Schizosaccharomyces pombe: one gene and its partner. The protein of the gene in region 2 interacts with the protein of the main gene of each other region in a pairwise test. Each region holds a gene or a part of one and is shown on either strand. Other genes may lie near its edges.

What was found. The genes of interacting proteins can lie anywhere in the genome.
Region 1: the proteins of sed5 (region 2) and sly1 interact in a two-hybrid assay, tested with the Schizosaccharomyces pombe proteins (one large-scale study listed by BioGRID).

Annotation. Positions count from the first base shown.
Region 1 is NC_003421.2:1,919,357-1,925,973, reverse strand, and holds sly1 (SNARE-binding protein Sly1), read right to left. Parts: upstream 2,815-6,617; 5' UTR 2,778-2,814; coding exon 2,726-2,777; intron 2,663-2,725; coding exon 2,394-2,662; intron 2,293-2,393; coding exon 1,205-2,292; exon of another isoform or gene 1,163-1,204; coding exon 1,054-1,162; exon of another isoform or gene 1,001-1,053; coding exon 599-1,000; 3' UTR 501-598; downstream 1-500. Other genes in the region: ppn1 (cleavage and polyadenylation specificity factor complex-associated protein), read left to right, coding at 1-228; mug24 (rrm type RNA-binding protein), read right to left, coding at 4,728-6,617.
Region 2 is NC_003423.3:1,379,528-1,388,498, forward strand, and holds sed5 (SNARE protein Sed5), read right to left. Parts: upstream 5,569-8,971; 5' UTR 5,502-5,568; coding exon 5,303-5,501; exon of another isoform or gene 5,212-5,302; coding exon 4,481-5,211; 3' UTR 4,180-4,480; coding exon of another isoform or gene 4,032-4,179; 3' UTR 3,981-4,031; coding exon of another isoform or gene 3,244-3,980; 3' UTR 3,199-3,243; coding exon of another isoform or gene 2,871-3,198; 3' UTR 2,782-2,870; coding exon of another isoform or gene 2,714-2,781; 3' UTR 2,672-2,713; coding exon of another isoform or gene 2,597-2,671; 3' UTR 2,383-2,596; downstream 1-2,382. Other genes in the region: SPOM_SPBC8D2.11 (uncharacterized protein), read left to right, coding at 65-433; tac1 (cytochrome C oxidase subunit I translational activator), read right to left, coding at 771-1,488, 1,553-1,616, 1,973-2,072; box H/ACA snoRNP assembly protein Shq1, read left to right, coding at 2,597-2,671, 2,714-2,781, 2,871-3,198, 3,244-3,980, 4,032-4,179; lipoic acid synthetase Lip5, read left to right, coding at 6,771-6,818, 6,860-7,924; SPOM_SPBC8D2.16C (uncharacterized protein), read right to left, coding at 8,220-8,971. UniProt on the Schizosaccharomyces pombe protein: Required for vesicular transport between the endoplasmic reticulum and the Golgi complex. Acts as a target organelle soluble NSF attachment protein receptor (t-SNARE).

The DNA.
Region 1 (6,617 bases), on a different chromosome or scaffold from region 2:
CCTGCTCACATCAAGCTAGTCTCGTCTGACACTCAAGCAACAACTGAATTGGGATTTAATGGTTTAGTGCAGCAAGTTTCTGAAAATAACACGAATGCATACTCAGCTACTTCGAATTCGCAATTAAGTTCAATTTTTTCTAATTTGTCATCTTCTATATCAGATGCTTCATCAAACGTTTTACAAAATCCATCTCTTTCGATACCAAATTACTCGAATGCTATATAAACTGAAGATTTTCACAACTTACATATTTTAAGCCATGTCTAACTTAAGTTATAACTGAGAATCTTATGAATTATATGTTTTTGAAATTTTTTTTTGTTAATTTTTTTTTTTTTTTTTTTGTTTGAGTTTTAGAACAGCAATTACATTTTCTTTTTTCTGTTCCCTCAGCTCTTGGTCTGAAAGTATATGTCGTTTACAAATAACCGCGATTTGCGTATAATGAACATTGATGCTTTCCAAATTTTCAATACGATGATGGACTACACAAATTCGACAAAAAAGTCATGTATCAAATTAAGAGTAAATCATTTATTTCATACAATATTGGCTGAACAAACATGATGGCCAAAAAATAAAACTAAATAATTTTTTAAGATAGAGAAGCCATTTCTTCCATAAATTCAGATGGCGATAATATGTCGGTACTACCGTATATGATACGCTTCTTAGGATTTTGTTCACGCGCCCAATCAGCCAGATTACCATATTCTAAATAATTACCACCTCCTAGTACGCAAACAATTGCTTCACTAAAAGTCTGTCTTTTGTTCATGGCCCTAGGATCATTGTTTACAGTAATAGCACGAGCTGATTTGGGATCTAATAATAGATAAGACTCTGTTTGTTTGGAGGCAGGAGAAGAGCCAGGGTCCATTAGACTCTGAACAATAGATGTAATAGTCCCATCCTTCCTGAAGGGAATCAGATTTCTAACCCCCGAAATAATATTTTCAAGGCCACCAATACCGGCTTCTTTAAAGCGGTCGGTAAACTAAAAACAATTAATATGTGCTTTAAGGTGAAAAAGTGTCAAACTATTCTTACCCTTGTGGAAAGACTGCTAAATCCACGAAATAAATTATCTCCTGTTTGACCCGTAGCTGGTCTTGTGGTAGAAGATGCTAACATGGTCATTTTAGTTATTTCACGAACCCTAATATAAGTTAGAAAAAACCAATAACATCAATCAGTATACCTCTTAACAAAATTTAATGCTTCTAATGTACAGCCATTGTTAACCAACGCCTCTTCATATGCCTGCAAATCAGAAGCCGGTACGGAATCAACACTTAAATACCAAATTATAAAAAATCGTAGCTTGTCTTCGGGAGTTCCTTGTTCCTTGTTATTGATGCAAGCGAGAATGGCACTTCTGTTTAGTCCAGTTATATTATCTTCTAACTGAAAAAAGTCATCTAAATGGCGCTCTTGAATAGCTTTTAATAATGCAGTTGCTATATTCATATGCATGTCAAGGATTTGTTTACGAGCTGTAAGCTCTGGGAGCAAGCTAACTGCACTTTTTAAATAAGTCGAATCAGCAAATGCGTCAACATTAACTTCTTCAAGTGAAGAAACACCGGATTTTCGGGTAATTTCACTAGCATCATTTTTATATCGAGTCAACTCTTCATCAATGTTTTCGGCAACTTTAGGAAATGGTTTGCTAGCATTACTTTCCCAGAAAAAATCATTTCCATCTAAATCGTAAAACCGCTTTGTCATTTTTCCATCATCGACTGACTCTACGGTAATCCTATTGAGTTGCATATTTAGGGTATCATGAATCAAAGCTTGGTAAGTCCAAGAATGATTTATCATTGGAATCAAATCGACCGTTCTATCCAGTAAAATAAGAATTGGCCTTGGTTTTGGATTAACAGAAACAAAAGCATCCTTGGTATTCATTAAATGGTCCTTTAGACGTTGATTCAACTTTTGGGCAACCATCTCAGCAGCCGATCCTTGTGGGCAACGAATGATAGGAATGGTTCCGAGTGTAACGATCACTGAAAAGAGACCATTTACAATATCCTGAACGCGTGAATTAATGAGAGCCTCATCTGAAGACGGGTTATGGAACGTATGAAAGATTTTGGGCAGTTGAAGAGAAAAAAAATCACTTTCTAACACAACATAATTAAGATACTGGTCATACACTTGATGAATCATGTGACTTGTATTTGTTTTCGACGCCAATTCGGCAAACTGTTCCAGAAGAGCACGAGAAATGGTAGATGAAAAACAGACATAGGCTGATTCGTAAAGACCCTTCGAAAGATCCTTTAAAATATGTTAGCTTGCTGAACTGTAATACAAAAAAGTATTTGGTATCCGACAATAAGATTAATTGATTGAAAATTATGATACTGAGAAATCCATACCTCTATTATTAGCTCAATGTTTTCTTGAGTAGGTTGAACAAAGTAAATAGCTGGGACATCAGCAATAGGCTGACGAAACGAAGTGATATTCATGTGAACCGTAACGCCATGTTTTCTGAGATCACTAATTCTGAGAACAGAAGAAATAGTCTCCGACCCTGCCTTATCGAAGATTAAAACTTTCCAAATGGGAAAATTAGAGGCATGTTGAGGGCTTGATTCAAGTTCGTTGACGTCTTGGTTCAAATTAAGCAGTTTTTCTAAAGATTCTAAAGGTTCATATTAGCAATGCTTACTGAGAATTATACAGTTTTATTAGCAACACTACTTACGAATTTGAGCTTCTCTCAAAGAAGACGGTGTTTTTACAGATGCAATAGACATCGTGCCAATTCCAACTTTGGCACTAATATAAGCACTTAGAAGGATGATTTGTGTTGAGGGATAAACATAAGAATCATACCCTTCATATGGTGGTGTATGGCAGTGAAGCGAGTCTCGCTAAATGTTCAAAAAGGTAAACAACAAAATAAATATTGAGGTTTGGCTGTTTTACCAAATCTTGTAGTCTTCAATCTTTACTAAAGATTTCTGATTTTCATTAAATTTTTAGATATTTAAAAAAACAGTACTAGTGCACCGGAAACATTCAAAGCGTAGGAAGGAAATCAATCTTGCGTTCAGTAGTTTACTTTTCTAAGATTTAATCTCAGCTTTCTAACTGTGCTTACATTACATATATTTCTAAGAGGTGTTCTTACTTTACTATTTACTTATAAAGATACAATTATTAAAAGAGTATCCAAACGCAAAAAGCTCTTAATTATGAATTTAGCCATTAATGATTTGCATATTCTAAGTGTCTAGGATCATATACGATGGCTAAAGTTGCTCATGGGATCAAATAAGTAGAAGGCATGTCTTCGTTTATTTTTTTAGACTGAATTAAACAAAATATGAAATTATTCATTGATCATTATGATGATAATGATACCGTAGACCTAATCATCGTAATAGTAATTAATTAACAGCAATGATGGATGGAAAATATAATTAAACAATGTATTGATGGAAGGAATTGGGCAAAGTAAACCGAAAATATGACAAAGAAGGTGTCGGACTCGAATAATGATAATGATAAAACAAAAATCTCAAAAAAAACGGAATAAGGACAAGGATAGTGATGACAAAATGAAATGACAGAACGATTATGATAACAAAAAACGGTAGTAAGCAAAGTGTTGGGAGTAACGTCAATAATTGAGCTTTGAAAGAAAAGAAAATGGTGAGTACGTTAATCCTAGAATAGTAAAAGCAAGAATAAGCGATAAATATGGAAGCTCAAGAAAAAAATAAAATTAGTGTGATCAAGCTGAATGCTATCAAGAAAGCAAATGGTAAACGAACTGGTGATGGGGTCGATGGAATGATAGAATGAAGATAGTCAATTAATTGGTTGTGAACAAAGGATAATAGTGATCATGACGAGGAACAATAACAATGATTCTGGAAAGCTGAGCTGTAATCAAACGGGAGAAATAGTAAAGAATTCGTCAGTGGATAGTACAATGATAATGTGTATAAGTGAGAATAGTTGGTTTAATGATAGCAAGCTGGAAAAATGCAAAATTGGCTGGTGGGTTAGCTTAAAACCGGCATCAACGGAAACAGTAGCAAATGGGAAAATATTGTGGTAATAGTAAAAAATGGATAATGGTAAATGAACAAACTACCCATGAAGTAACGGATCGAGAAGGGTTCATGAATTCATCAGCAAGAAGTAAGTAATCTTTAATAGGTAAGAAAAGTAAAAGTTCACAGACCGGCTTCTCTTAGTGATAGAAGAATGGTTTGAAAAACTAATTGACACATTGAATGAATAAAACTCTGCTCAGAAGGTTGAAGGTAATTTTTCTTTAAAGACAAAAAATTACATAATTTAAAAGAAGACATTGGAAATCACGGAAGAGTAGTAATGTGACAAAGCAAAAAAATTTCAAATTTGGGTGGGAAACAATCAAAACGTGTAAAAACGATAAATCAAAAACTTTCAGTAATAAGGTTTAATTAGAGTCAAGAATAAAAAGAGTTTTTTTTCTGAATTTTTTCTTTTTCAATTTTTTTTGGAATTTTAGATTTTTTTAAGGCAATGTTTAGTTAGGTTTGGACAATTTTCAAGTTTTTTTCAGAGGAGTTAGTGTTAAGTTTTTGGGAGTCTCTGTTACAAACTAAATTTGCATGCTGAGTGAATACCCGTAGAATTGAGAATAAGCAAAAATAAATGGAAACATACTGACTTGCTGATGAACAAAAGTTACTTCGCGAGTATTGGAACTAGTCGTTTTCGTGGTCGGATGTTTGAGGATAGTTCGGAACATTGCAGTTGAAAGGAAAAGAGGGAACGGCTGTAAAGGGGATAAAGGGCTGATACTGGATACCAAAATTTAATATTGGATCCGAACCTGGAGGAATTGCTGGACAATAAGCTACAGGATATGAAAACGGTGGAGTAATAAATTGCTGCAATGGAACATTCTGTTGGATAGGAGAGTTGGATTTAGACTTTTGAAGCTCTTGTTCGCATCTATCAGGAGCATAGCGGATTTTGCTCTTCTTGAACAAAGGATGTATAGGCAAGCCATTGACAGCCTTCATGGCATTAGATATATTTGTATAGGCAACGAATCCAGAACTTCTATTTTTTAAATATTTAATTGATTCAATCTCTCCATACTGACGCAGTATGAGCTCTAACTCTTCGGTAGTAAGTGAATCTGATATATGGCTGAAGTAAACATTTCTGGAAGCGCCCATCAATATAGAATCTTCTAAAACTCTGGGCAAAGGTCCACTTTCTTTACCCCATCCTACTTTAATTCTTCGACCGTGTAATAAAACTTCTTCCTCAGCCAAGTAGTCGTGGAAAGCGTTGGCGGCCGAATACGTTATAAATGTAACGAAGCATATATGTTTTTCAGGAATATAGTGGAAGTCTTGTAACCCTCCATGTCGGATTAGATCGCATATTTCATGTCCTTTAGTCTTAGTATGGAGATTGCCAAGGAAGACAGTACGGTTTCCATTGTCTTTTGATTCCTGCTGCCTGCAACGGTCAGACGTGGTATCCGGATTTTGCTTGGAAGTGAAACATGACCTTTCATCAAATGAAGGTGGATGATTTGCACAGCGATCTGAGCCAAAAAATATTCGCCATGAGTGATAGTCAGGATCGCAAGATAAGGTACGAACAACCTTGATTGCGTCGCGGATGTTCAAAAAGTGAACAAAAGCAATATTCTTTTTCGAGAGGATTTTTATGTGCTCAATCTTGCCGAATTTACCAAACGCTTCTTCAATTTCCTTCTCGTGATAAGAAGAAGGAAGATTGCCGATGAACACATTACGGCTGGCCGCAGTGTTCGAGCAAAAATTTTGAATCGATTCAGGTAAAGGAGAAGGTCTAGCAAATGTCAATTTGAGTGGCCTACCATGAAAAATGAATCCACGAGGATGGTACCTTTCATAAAAGAAAAAGGCATCAGCAGAATCAAGAAATGTAATTATAATCCTGCGTTTTCCAGGGTTGGACTGAATCTTCTCTAATGGTCCAGAGTGGATAAGCGAAAGTAATTCGGAAATTTTGTAGTCAACTGGCAAGTTACCAAGGATTAAAGCACGAAAATCTAACAAGGATTCGTATTCTGAATTGAATGGTGAAAATTGCTCCGCAGGTTGTTGGGCAAACGGAGGAGGAGTACCTTCTCGAGGTAGGAAATTTGGACGGTTTACAGGTTTTGCATGATACATATTGTCGGTATAGTGGGCATAGGGCATCGGTATGAAGGTGTTTGCTGAAACATACATGTTGGGGTAATAGGTTGAAGGTGGAGAAGGATAAATGACTGAAGAAGAGTCCTGGTCAAAATGAGGATAACAAGGAGAATCGAGTTGTTCGGGAGGGGGATTCATTGATTTAGGAGCATACCCATTATGAGATTTCGGAATAAATTCTGCGGCATTGATGTTTACATGGAAAGAAGGATTAGGTGAAAGATTTTTGTGCTTTTTACCACCACAGTCAAGGTTGGTACATTCATTATTGTCCACTGAATTAAGACTACTGTTATCATCTTCTGAATCATTTAAAGTGCAAATGCTGTTGGCCGTGCCAGTACTTCCTGTCTCTTGAAAGCAGCAATCACTATCAACGAAGTGACCGTTGTT
Region 2 (8,971 bases):
ATTCAATTAGTATTGAAATTTTCAGAGGGTCTTGAATAAATTGTCGGCGTAGCATCTTGGTGTTATGGGACGCCCTTTAATAGAGTCCAGTTCAAACGACCATGTTGCAAATTTCAATAGAAAAACAAAGAAGCTGATTGATCAAGCGCTTGAACATTATAATGGAAGATTACCTGAGCAGCTTGAAAATTTCAGCTTTGAGAACTTTGTCGAAGTTTTGGATACTGAGTCCTCAGTGGTAAATCGAGTCTTCGAAGTACTGGTGCGCGAGGTTGCTGGTTCTTTTCGGCAAAGGAAGCGTGCTCACATGCCTAGGACTAATACCACTGCTCAAGTTGTTCAAAGGCAATTAGCGCCCAGTATATCAACCGTTTTTTCGCGTGATTCCAACGATCCTCTTGTTGACGATATGGATCAAGAGTACATCTTATAAAACATGAGACTGGAATCTTTATGGAGGCCGGAAAAGATGGATTTTGAAGATTTGACTTTTACTTGTCTTTTGTACTTTTCTATCACAAGGTTTAATTATTACATGCTTTCCAGTCTATGAAATAGGTGATAATGAACTATTTATTTATGAGCATATTTTTTAAGTCGATCAGCAAAAACCACATAGATTTATTTAAAAATTTAATTGCATCGCAACATTGTTTTTGTAGACGTTAGAGCAACTAGCTCATAGTTTGTAAGTAATCAAATCTCATAGTATTATATGATTCATCAAGGAGAAAAAAGTTTCATATTTTTTAATTTTCTTTTTTTTAACCTTATTCATCAAGAATAGGCAAAAAGTGGGAATTCAGTATACTCAAATGAATGAACATTACATCCTCGTTTTCATACAAGTCGTCGATTAATTTTTGAATATCTTCTCTGACAGAATCTTTTGCAGGTACATCGATAGCCGTTTCTTCCAGAGGAATATGGATTAAACGAGAATCTTTGATTTCATAGTTTTTAGATCGAAAATGATGAGCCACCTGGTTTAAACTAGAGGGCTCGGTTAAAATCAAAAATTCACCTTCATCTTCTTCGTCTATGTACTCTTTGGGCCTATTGACTATGTCCTCTGCGCCAGCTTCAATAGCATCGTCGAGAACATCTTCAAATTTCATAGAATCTCGTTTTTCTGGAGGAAGATTTACTTCCACCTTACCCTTTTTGCTAAACAAAAATTTGACAGTCGATAAAGAAGCCCCATGATTTCGTAAAATATGTTTGATTGAAGAAGCAGCTCGAGCTCGATTGTCTGTAACCGCTTCAACTATAAGACCGACTCCTGATGGATGCATTGCTTCATACTCAATAAAATGAACTTGCGAACCTTCACTTCCAGCCGTACCCAATCCTCGATTAATTGCATTTTCAATACCAGATTTCGGCATGGATATTTTCTTGGCACTCTCTAGTAGTGTCGCCAGCCGCATATTCAATTCAGGATTGGCACCTTCTTGTCGAACTGCTAGAATGATTCCCTGTGAAAGTCTGGATACACAGTAATATTAGTAACTGTTATTAGATAGTAGTGTGAAACAAGACGAGCCCTTACTTTCCAATTTGTAAACTTCTTGCCTGGTCATTCGCCGATTTTTTGTGCTTAATTTTTGACCACTCTATAAAGGTTAATATGCGTATATAAAACTGGTAACATTATAGTGTCTATGGATCTTATAAATTCACTGTTGTTGACAGTAACCCAGTTTGCAAGAAAACCTGAACATTCACTTAATTGTATGTTCGAGCAATTAACTGAACACTTTATAAAAGTGGATATGAATACAGTTCAAATTTTATCACTTTCAATTCTTCTGTCTTATGTGAAAGATCCCAGTAATTCAGCAAAGAATCATAGTCAACATTGAGTAGCCTACATTCTTTACTACAATGGGTCTCGTTTTTTACTTTTGTTTTATCTTGAAAATTCATAGAAGCAAAAACACTATAACTAGCTTATAAATCAATAACTTACTGTTATGCCCAGACATAATCCATCCTGAAGTCGTGAATGATCGGAACCTTGAAAAATGATACAGCGCTCTTGTGAAAGGTATTTTATTTAAAGCATTCATTATCCTTGTATGCTACGAAGTGACCACTGACCACAATTAGGATAAAACAAGGAAAACTGATATGAGAGGAGAGGGAGTTGAAGTAGGGAATACTAGCACTCGAATCAGCATCTCTATAAAGAAAACAGTATTTCTGCTTTAGTAGAAATAAATTGATTCAACAATTCGTATATAATATATTTTACTACTTCATATACTTTAAACCTTTAAGTTGTTAAAAATTGTAAGTATGGGCATGTAAGTGACCAAATTGCTTTCCCAGCTAAAGACAATTTCGTGAATCCTTCCCGTTCTGAAAACATTAACTAGTGAACAAATTAAATACATTATCTTTCATTGATGGTGATTCTAACAGTCCTTTGTTTCTAAACTAATTAAAGAATAGGTCACTCAATCTGCAAATTCACGGTAATTTAAGTGATCTAAACTTATTCATAAACTATTTAAAAAATTGAAAATGAGTTCTTAAGATAATGACCAATCCGAAATTTTAATTGCAATGCATTCAAAACCATCCAGCTGCAATGATCACTCCAAAATTTGAATTGAGGCAGGATGAAGAATTTGTGTATTTAGATGTGCATACTCCGTATATAAAGGTATGGTTCTTATTCTAATCGAGTAATAACTCACCAAGGCAGGCTAAAAACGTTGAAATTGATGCTTTTAACAATGAAGTGAACTTTTGCATTGCACCTTATTTCCTTAAGTAAGTCTTTTCTAAATCCCATAAGTATTTGGGCTATCTAAATATTTCTTATTAAAATTGAAGCAGTGTTTACTAACTTTTTCCCAAAGACTAGAACTGCCTGGTAACGTTTTAGATGATGATCGGGCTAACGCTTCATACGATATTTCAAGTGGTTTTGTGCATATTAAATTTCCCAAGGAGACTCCTGGAGAAGTATTTCCAGACTTGGATTTACTAACTACTTTACTTGTAAACCAAAACAAAGAACCTGTCAAAAAGCCCTTAATCGAGGAAGTGGAAGATACCCCATCACCTTCAACTTCGCAAAATGCCAGCAAGGATGAAGAAAAAGAGGTTAAAATTGACTGGCAGAATATTCATTTCGATGATCCCGATTTCGATTGGGGCCTGTTGCAACGGTTAGATGATGAAAAGGTTTGTTTCTTGCGCGACTTGTCGACATTCTAACTTTATCATTAGATGCAGTACACATCTACGTCTCAATACGGTTTCAATAATCAGTATTCAGGACTGCTGAAGTATAATGCTTTGGTTGGAAATGAAATTAATCAAATTCCTGAACCAGAGCGAACTCCTCCTTCTACGAGAAGTGAAATACGTGTACAGCTAGAAGATGAAAAATTTGATGCTGAACATTATATGGCAGATTTTTATGACAGGGAGATGATCGATGAAATATTGCATTATATTCCTGATTATATTGGGGAATTTTTGCTGGTCCAACAAGGCAAATCCGACAGACTTTTAGAATTTACAAGCGAAGAAAAAGAAGCTTTAGCCAAATTACCAAAGCGAAGCTACCTTATTGACAATCCGAAGAATGTTTATCTTTGTTTAGTTCCTTTGATTTTTGCATACGCATACGACAATAGGACTACTTTGGGTGATCCAACTATTGAATCATGTTGGAATATCGGAACACTTTCATCCACGATATCTTGTCTCGATACAAATTTCCTTGCAATCAAAGATATATTTATTGCATGTATTAGACGTTCGTTGGCATACCCTTTGTATAGAAATTGGGACCTTGCCCTCACTTGTTGGAAAGACACCCATGCGATTTTGAGCCTTGGAAAGCGTTGGATATTGAGAGTTTTACTTCGTATTCGAAACCTTTTTGAACATCACGATGTCTATTATATATACAACGCTATAGTACTAAACGATTATGCTTATTGGATACAGACAGCAAAGTAAGTAAACTGAAATTCATATTTTTTCTAAAGACTCACCAATAATTTTAGTGATAATGTGCTAGCTGCATTAGCCTATCAAGTCTCAGAATGTACAATTACAAAAGAGGAAACAAATTGGCCGCTGGAAGAAATCGAAGCAAATGTACAAGAAACAATTATTGCTTCTGACGAGGAAAGCGAGTCCATAGAGAAATAAAAGAAAAATATGATACCACAAATAAGGAAAAGGAATGAAATGACGACAGGTCCAGGTATTTAATAAGAGTCATTTACAATTTTTGGATGGACACGAATAAACTTTTCGGTGTTATTTCTATATTTAAAGATTAAACCATAAGGCATTAAATCGACAGGATACTAGGTATTCCGGTATTGGTAGAAAAAGGATAAAAATTAATGAAGTTGGGTGAAAAATACAGGCGGCATAGTTTTCGGTATGTCAAAAGATTTGTACAGACTTGTAAAAAAAGAAAAGAGGATTGCATGTTTTTTTGCACTCAAGTAACGAGCACCCAAAGAAGGAAAAATATAATCACTATACCGAAAATTTTGAAAAGTAGTGCTCGATTTGAAGACATCCGTTCATAAAACTTGACAATCTCTCTCTGGGCACTTCCAATATTTGAGACGATATCATCTGTATGCATGTCAATCCGTTGTACGGTTTCACGTTGCTCAGAGACCATCTGTGCTAATTGCGAAAAAATACCACCCAACTCGGTAATAGTACTTTCGATGTTTTGTATAGAAGACATACGCTGCTGGGAATACGTATCAGTCTGGCTTTCAAGTAAGGCCATTTGCTCATAACGAGTGTTAGCACCATCCCCGAGATTCAAGGATAAATAGTCTTCATTAGCTTCAGGTTTAGGATCATTGTAATCAGCAAATGGTGAAATCGAGTTTCCAGAATTTATAAGGGGGTTAGCATTCATGGAACTCGAGGCAACAAATTTTTCTGTGCGGTTCTGGGATGCTTTCATGTTTTGTGTCCGAATTTCGAGAATGTCTTTAAAGGTCATACTGGTGTTTGCGAGAGAATTTTGCAAAGAAACGACAACGTTCTCGCTATGTTGATTCATTTGGGCAGGTTTGTTACGATTTCCTTTAACAACCTGCTGTAGTGAAGCTATATCCGAATTTAAAGACGATAAGCTTTGCTTAATTTGAAATGTTAGTTCTTGAATTTCTACTGGCCGATCGTCAAACAAAGTCTTCCTTTTTGCAACTAAAGAAATGTTAGCCATACTTAACCATTTGATTTGAAAAGACTTAGGCAACGTTCGTTTGTGACTATGCCCAATAAGCTAAATACTTACGTTGTGATAGCTTTTGTAACTTTTCGCCAGTTTGATTAATTTGGTTAGCAATTTTTTGGGCTATCCTTGTAAATTCGCTCTTTTGGTGCTTGGTTTGATCGGGACCACCTACTGCTTGATTTGCAGTCGTTGTCCTCAAACGAGATCGAGTTTTCGTGACACATGCTTGAAATTCAGCAGTCCTATCTTGAAATGACATGAATATTTAGTCTTAAGGTCCTCAAGTTGAGTACTTTATAGAAATTGATGTGTGGTGTGGAGATAGGTAGCTGGTTTATAGCAAGGGTTGGCAATATAATGCATAGGACGAAATATCGTCCAGTAAAGAAAGAAACTTGAGAATCTAGTTTTTTTATTCAAATATTATTTTGTAGTTACTTTTTAGTTTCTATCTAAATTTTGGCCTAAATCACACTACATTGTGAATAGAAACCTAGGGTGTAGACTAACGAAACTTTGATCGTTTTTAAGAAATATATCTATACGTTAGAGTAAAGATCCTTTTAAGTAAGCAATGGGTATTTAATTAAACCAAAACAAATGGCTTTTGGGTTGTTATGCCACCTCGCTTTTGCAGCCATTGATCATGATCTATCTCTATTTCATTGAAGCTGAGTTTGAGTATTTCTCATTTAATAATAGACATACTAGTAACAATTCATTCCACAACCTCCAAGGTAGAAACCAAAAGTTAAATTCACTACAAGATGCACTAGCTAAAAGTTATGAGAGAATGCTTGAAAAAGAGTGCACAAAGCTGCTCTCAAATATCATTTAGCAATCTTTAACCAGCTTAATTCGTTTTATGTCAAGCATTGCTCATGCGAAAATAAATAGAAAAAATTCTTACTTGAGATTTTGTAAATCACGCATAAAAAAGACGGAAGCTGTTAAAGAAGAGAAGCATTATTTTCAAAAAAAGTTTCAAATATACTCATATGTGTCTCTAAAATTAAAAGGTTACATAGAAAATCTGTCTAGGCCTGTTTTTACAGGGCTTTCATAAATGAGTAAATCGAAGTCGAAATCAAAGTGACCTTGCAGAAACATACTATACATATTCATAATAGGAAGCTAAAGTTTTGAAAATCACTCAAAAAATAGGAGAATCCCTATGACGAGAAATTTACCATAGTACGTGAGACCACAAAATTTTGAGAGTTTATTTGAAAAAAATATTCAATTATATCTTTACTTTACGCTTGTAGTTTGGCTGATTAGTGTCCAAAACTATGGTAAACAGCTTGGTTTAATGTTTTGAATTTTCTTACAATTGTCCACAAACTGAGTCGTATTCAACAAAAAAAACGAAACTTCGAATTATGAAGGAGACTGTTTAATAGGTAAAATAACGTTTAAAACATCTGTTTTCTATTGATGGGCTAACACGGATAATAGGTAGTAGTAAGGTTAGTACTTTATATCCAATCCCATACTGTCTAATAGTCCTTACTTCCTCTACACAGCAATGTTGAAAATAGGTCGAAATGCTACGATATTAAAAAACAATTTTTGGGTGAGTTTTCTTTTATTTATAGTTTTATTAATATAGCATAGTTTGCCTCCGTGAGGTTTCAATCTGGAGGGTTTTCAGAAAAGTTGGCGAAAGGACCATCATTTGCAGATTTCTTGAACATGGATAAACCATTGACTGCTGACGAAGCTTTCGAGTTAGATAGAAAAGTAGAGCTACCAAATGGCTCTATACACAAAAGATTGCCTTCATGGCTTAAAACCAAAGTTCCACTAGGAACAAATTTTAACCGAATAAAGCATGATTTGCGGGGATCTCATCTCCATACGGTTTGTGAAGAAGCGAAATGTCCGAATATTGGAGAATGCTGGGGAGGTAAAGACAAATCTCGTGCCACAGCTACGATCATGCTTATGGGTGATACTTGTACTCGTGGATGTCGCTTTTGTTCGGTAAAGACCAGTCGCCGTCCAGGTCCTTTAGATCCCAACGAGCCTGAAAATACAGCAGAAGCCATCAAACAATGGAACCTTGGGTACATTGTTCTCACTAGTGTCGATAGAGATGACCTGACTGACCTTGGTGCCAATCATATAGCAAAAACGATTCAAAAAATTAAAGAAAAAGCCCCGCACATCTTGGTAGAAGCTTTGACCCCCGATTTTAGTGGAAGAATGGATTTGGTTGAGATTGTAGCTAAATCTGGTTTGGACGTCTTTGCACACAATGTAGAAACGGTAGAGGAACTTACCCCATTTGTTCGAGATCGACGAGCCACATATCGACAAAGTCTGAGCGTGCTAAAACATGTGAAGAAAACATGTCCTCACCTTATCACTAAAACCAGTATTATGCTTGGTCTAGGTGAAACCGATGCGGAAATTCTAACAACTCTTAAGGATCTCCTGGAACATAATGTAGATGTCGTTACCTTTGGTCAATATATGAGACCTACCAAACGACACCTAAAAGTGCAAGAGTATGTACATCCTAAGAAGTTTGAATATTGGAAAGAAGTGGCAGAGAAATTAGGATTCTTATACGTGGCTAGTGGTCCACTTGTTCGTAGTAGCTATAAGGCTGGCGAATATTTTATGGAGAATCTTATTAAAAAGAGATCAGGAAACCCTGCTTCTATGAGTGTTTAAACATGGCTGCTTATCTAGGTACACTCGATAGGAGTTTGTCTTCAACAGAATTACCCTTTTTTGCATTGACTCGAATCATCTTTTAAATTTTTTTATTCTTTATTTCAACAATACACTCTTAGATATAATTTTAATCATAATAATTCTCGTCTTAGTTTCTAATATCGTCTTTATACCCAAGTTATCCTTATAATTTATCATATTCAAAATTGATTTTGTTTTCCTTGATTAGCGAGACAGCTTTATAATATTTAAGTAAGAAAAAGACAGCTTCACCTTTGTAAGTATTTAGGCTTTATCGTCGTCCATGCATCAGCAACATATCTGACAAACGGGTCATGGCCGCCAAAAGTATCTCTTCAGGAATGGGATCATTTAGAAAAGAAACTGGGAATGGGTTAAAAGAAATACTTTTGGCAGTGGAGTCTACGAGCTCTTTTTGTACGACATTGTCTTGTAAAACAAGAACAGCATGCCGAAACGAACTTGGTAAACTCGCTTCTAACTCTTTTGAAGTAATAGCTGAAGTCTGACTGTTGATTTGAACAACAAAGTCATATCCACCTTTGTAAGGAGAACTTTTACACAGCTGAGAAGAAAGACATGACCGCACCTTGTAACCCCAATAATGACCACCTTTTTCTCGTGGAGCTGAAAAAGACACGATATCACCTTGAAGCTGGCCTTCTTCGTTTGGAGACTGCGCTTTTAATCGAACCGTGACCCTTGTTCTAGGAGCAAGGACGCTGGGGCTGGAAACGATTACATTGTGAGATAGTCCAGCATTTATAATATATTTATTCTTTGCTTGCGGAGATGGATGAGTAACGATTCCCTCTCGGTATGGGAATTCAATATTCACTGTGCTAGCCTTGTCATTTCTGAGGGGAAGTAATGGAAAGCAGCTAGTATATTTTAGATGTGGATTTAGTGGAAACAATTCCTTCCTCATAAAGAAAGGCGTTTCGAAATAGCATAATAAGTCCGTGAGAAATTTTGTGGGATCCTTTAAATAAGCATCAGAGGAAAGTGTATGTACCTGGGTGT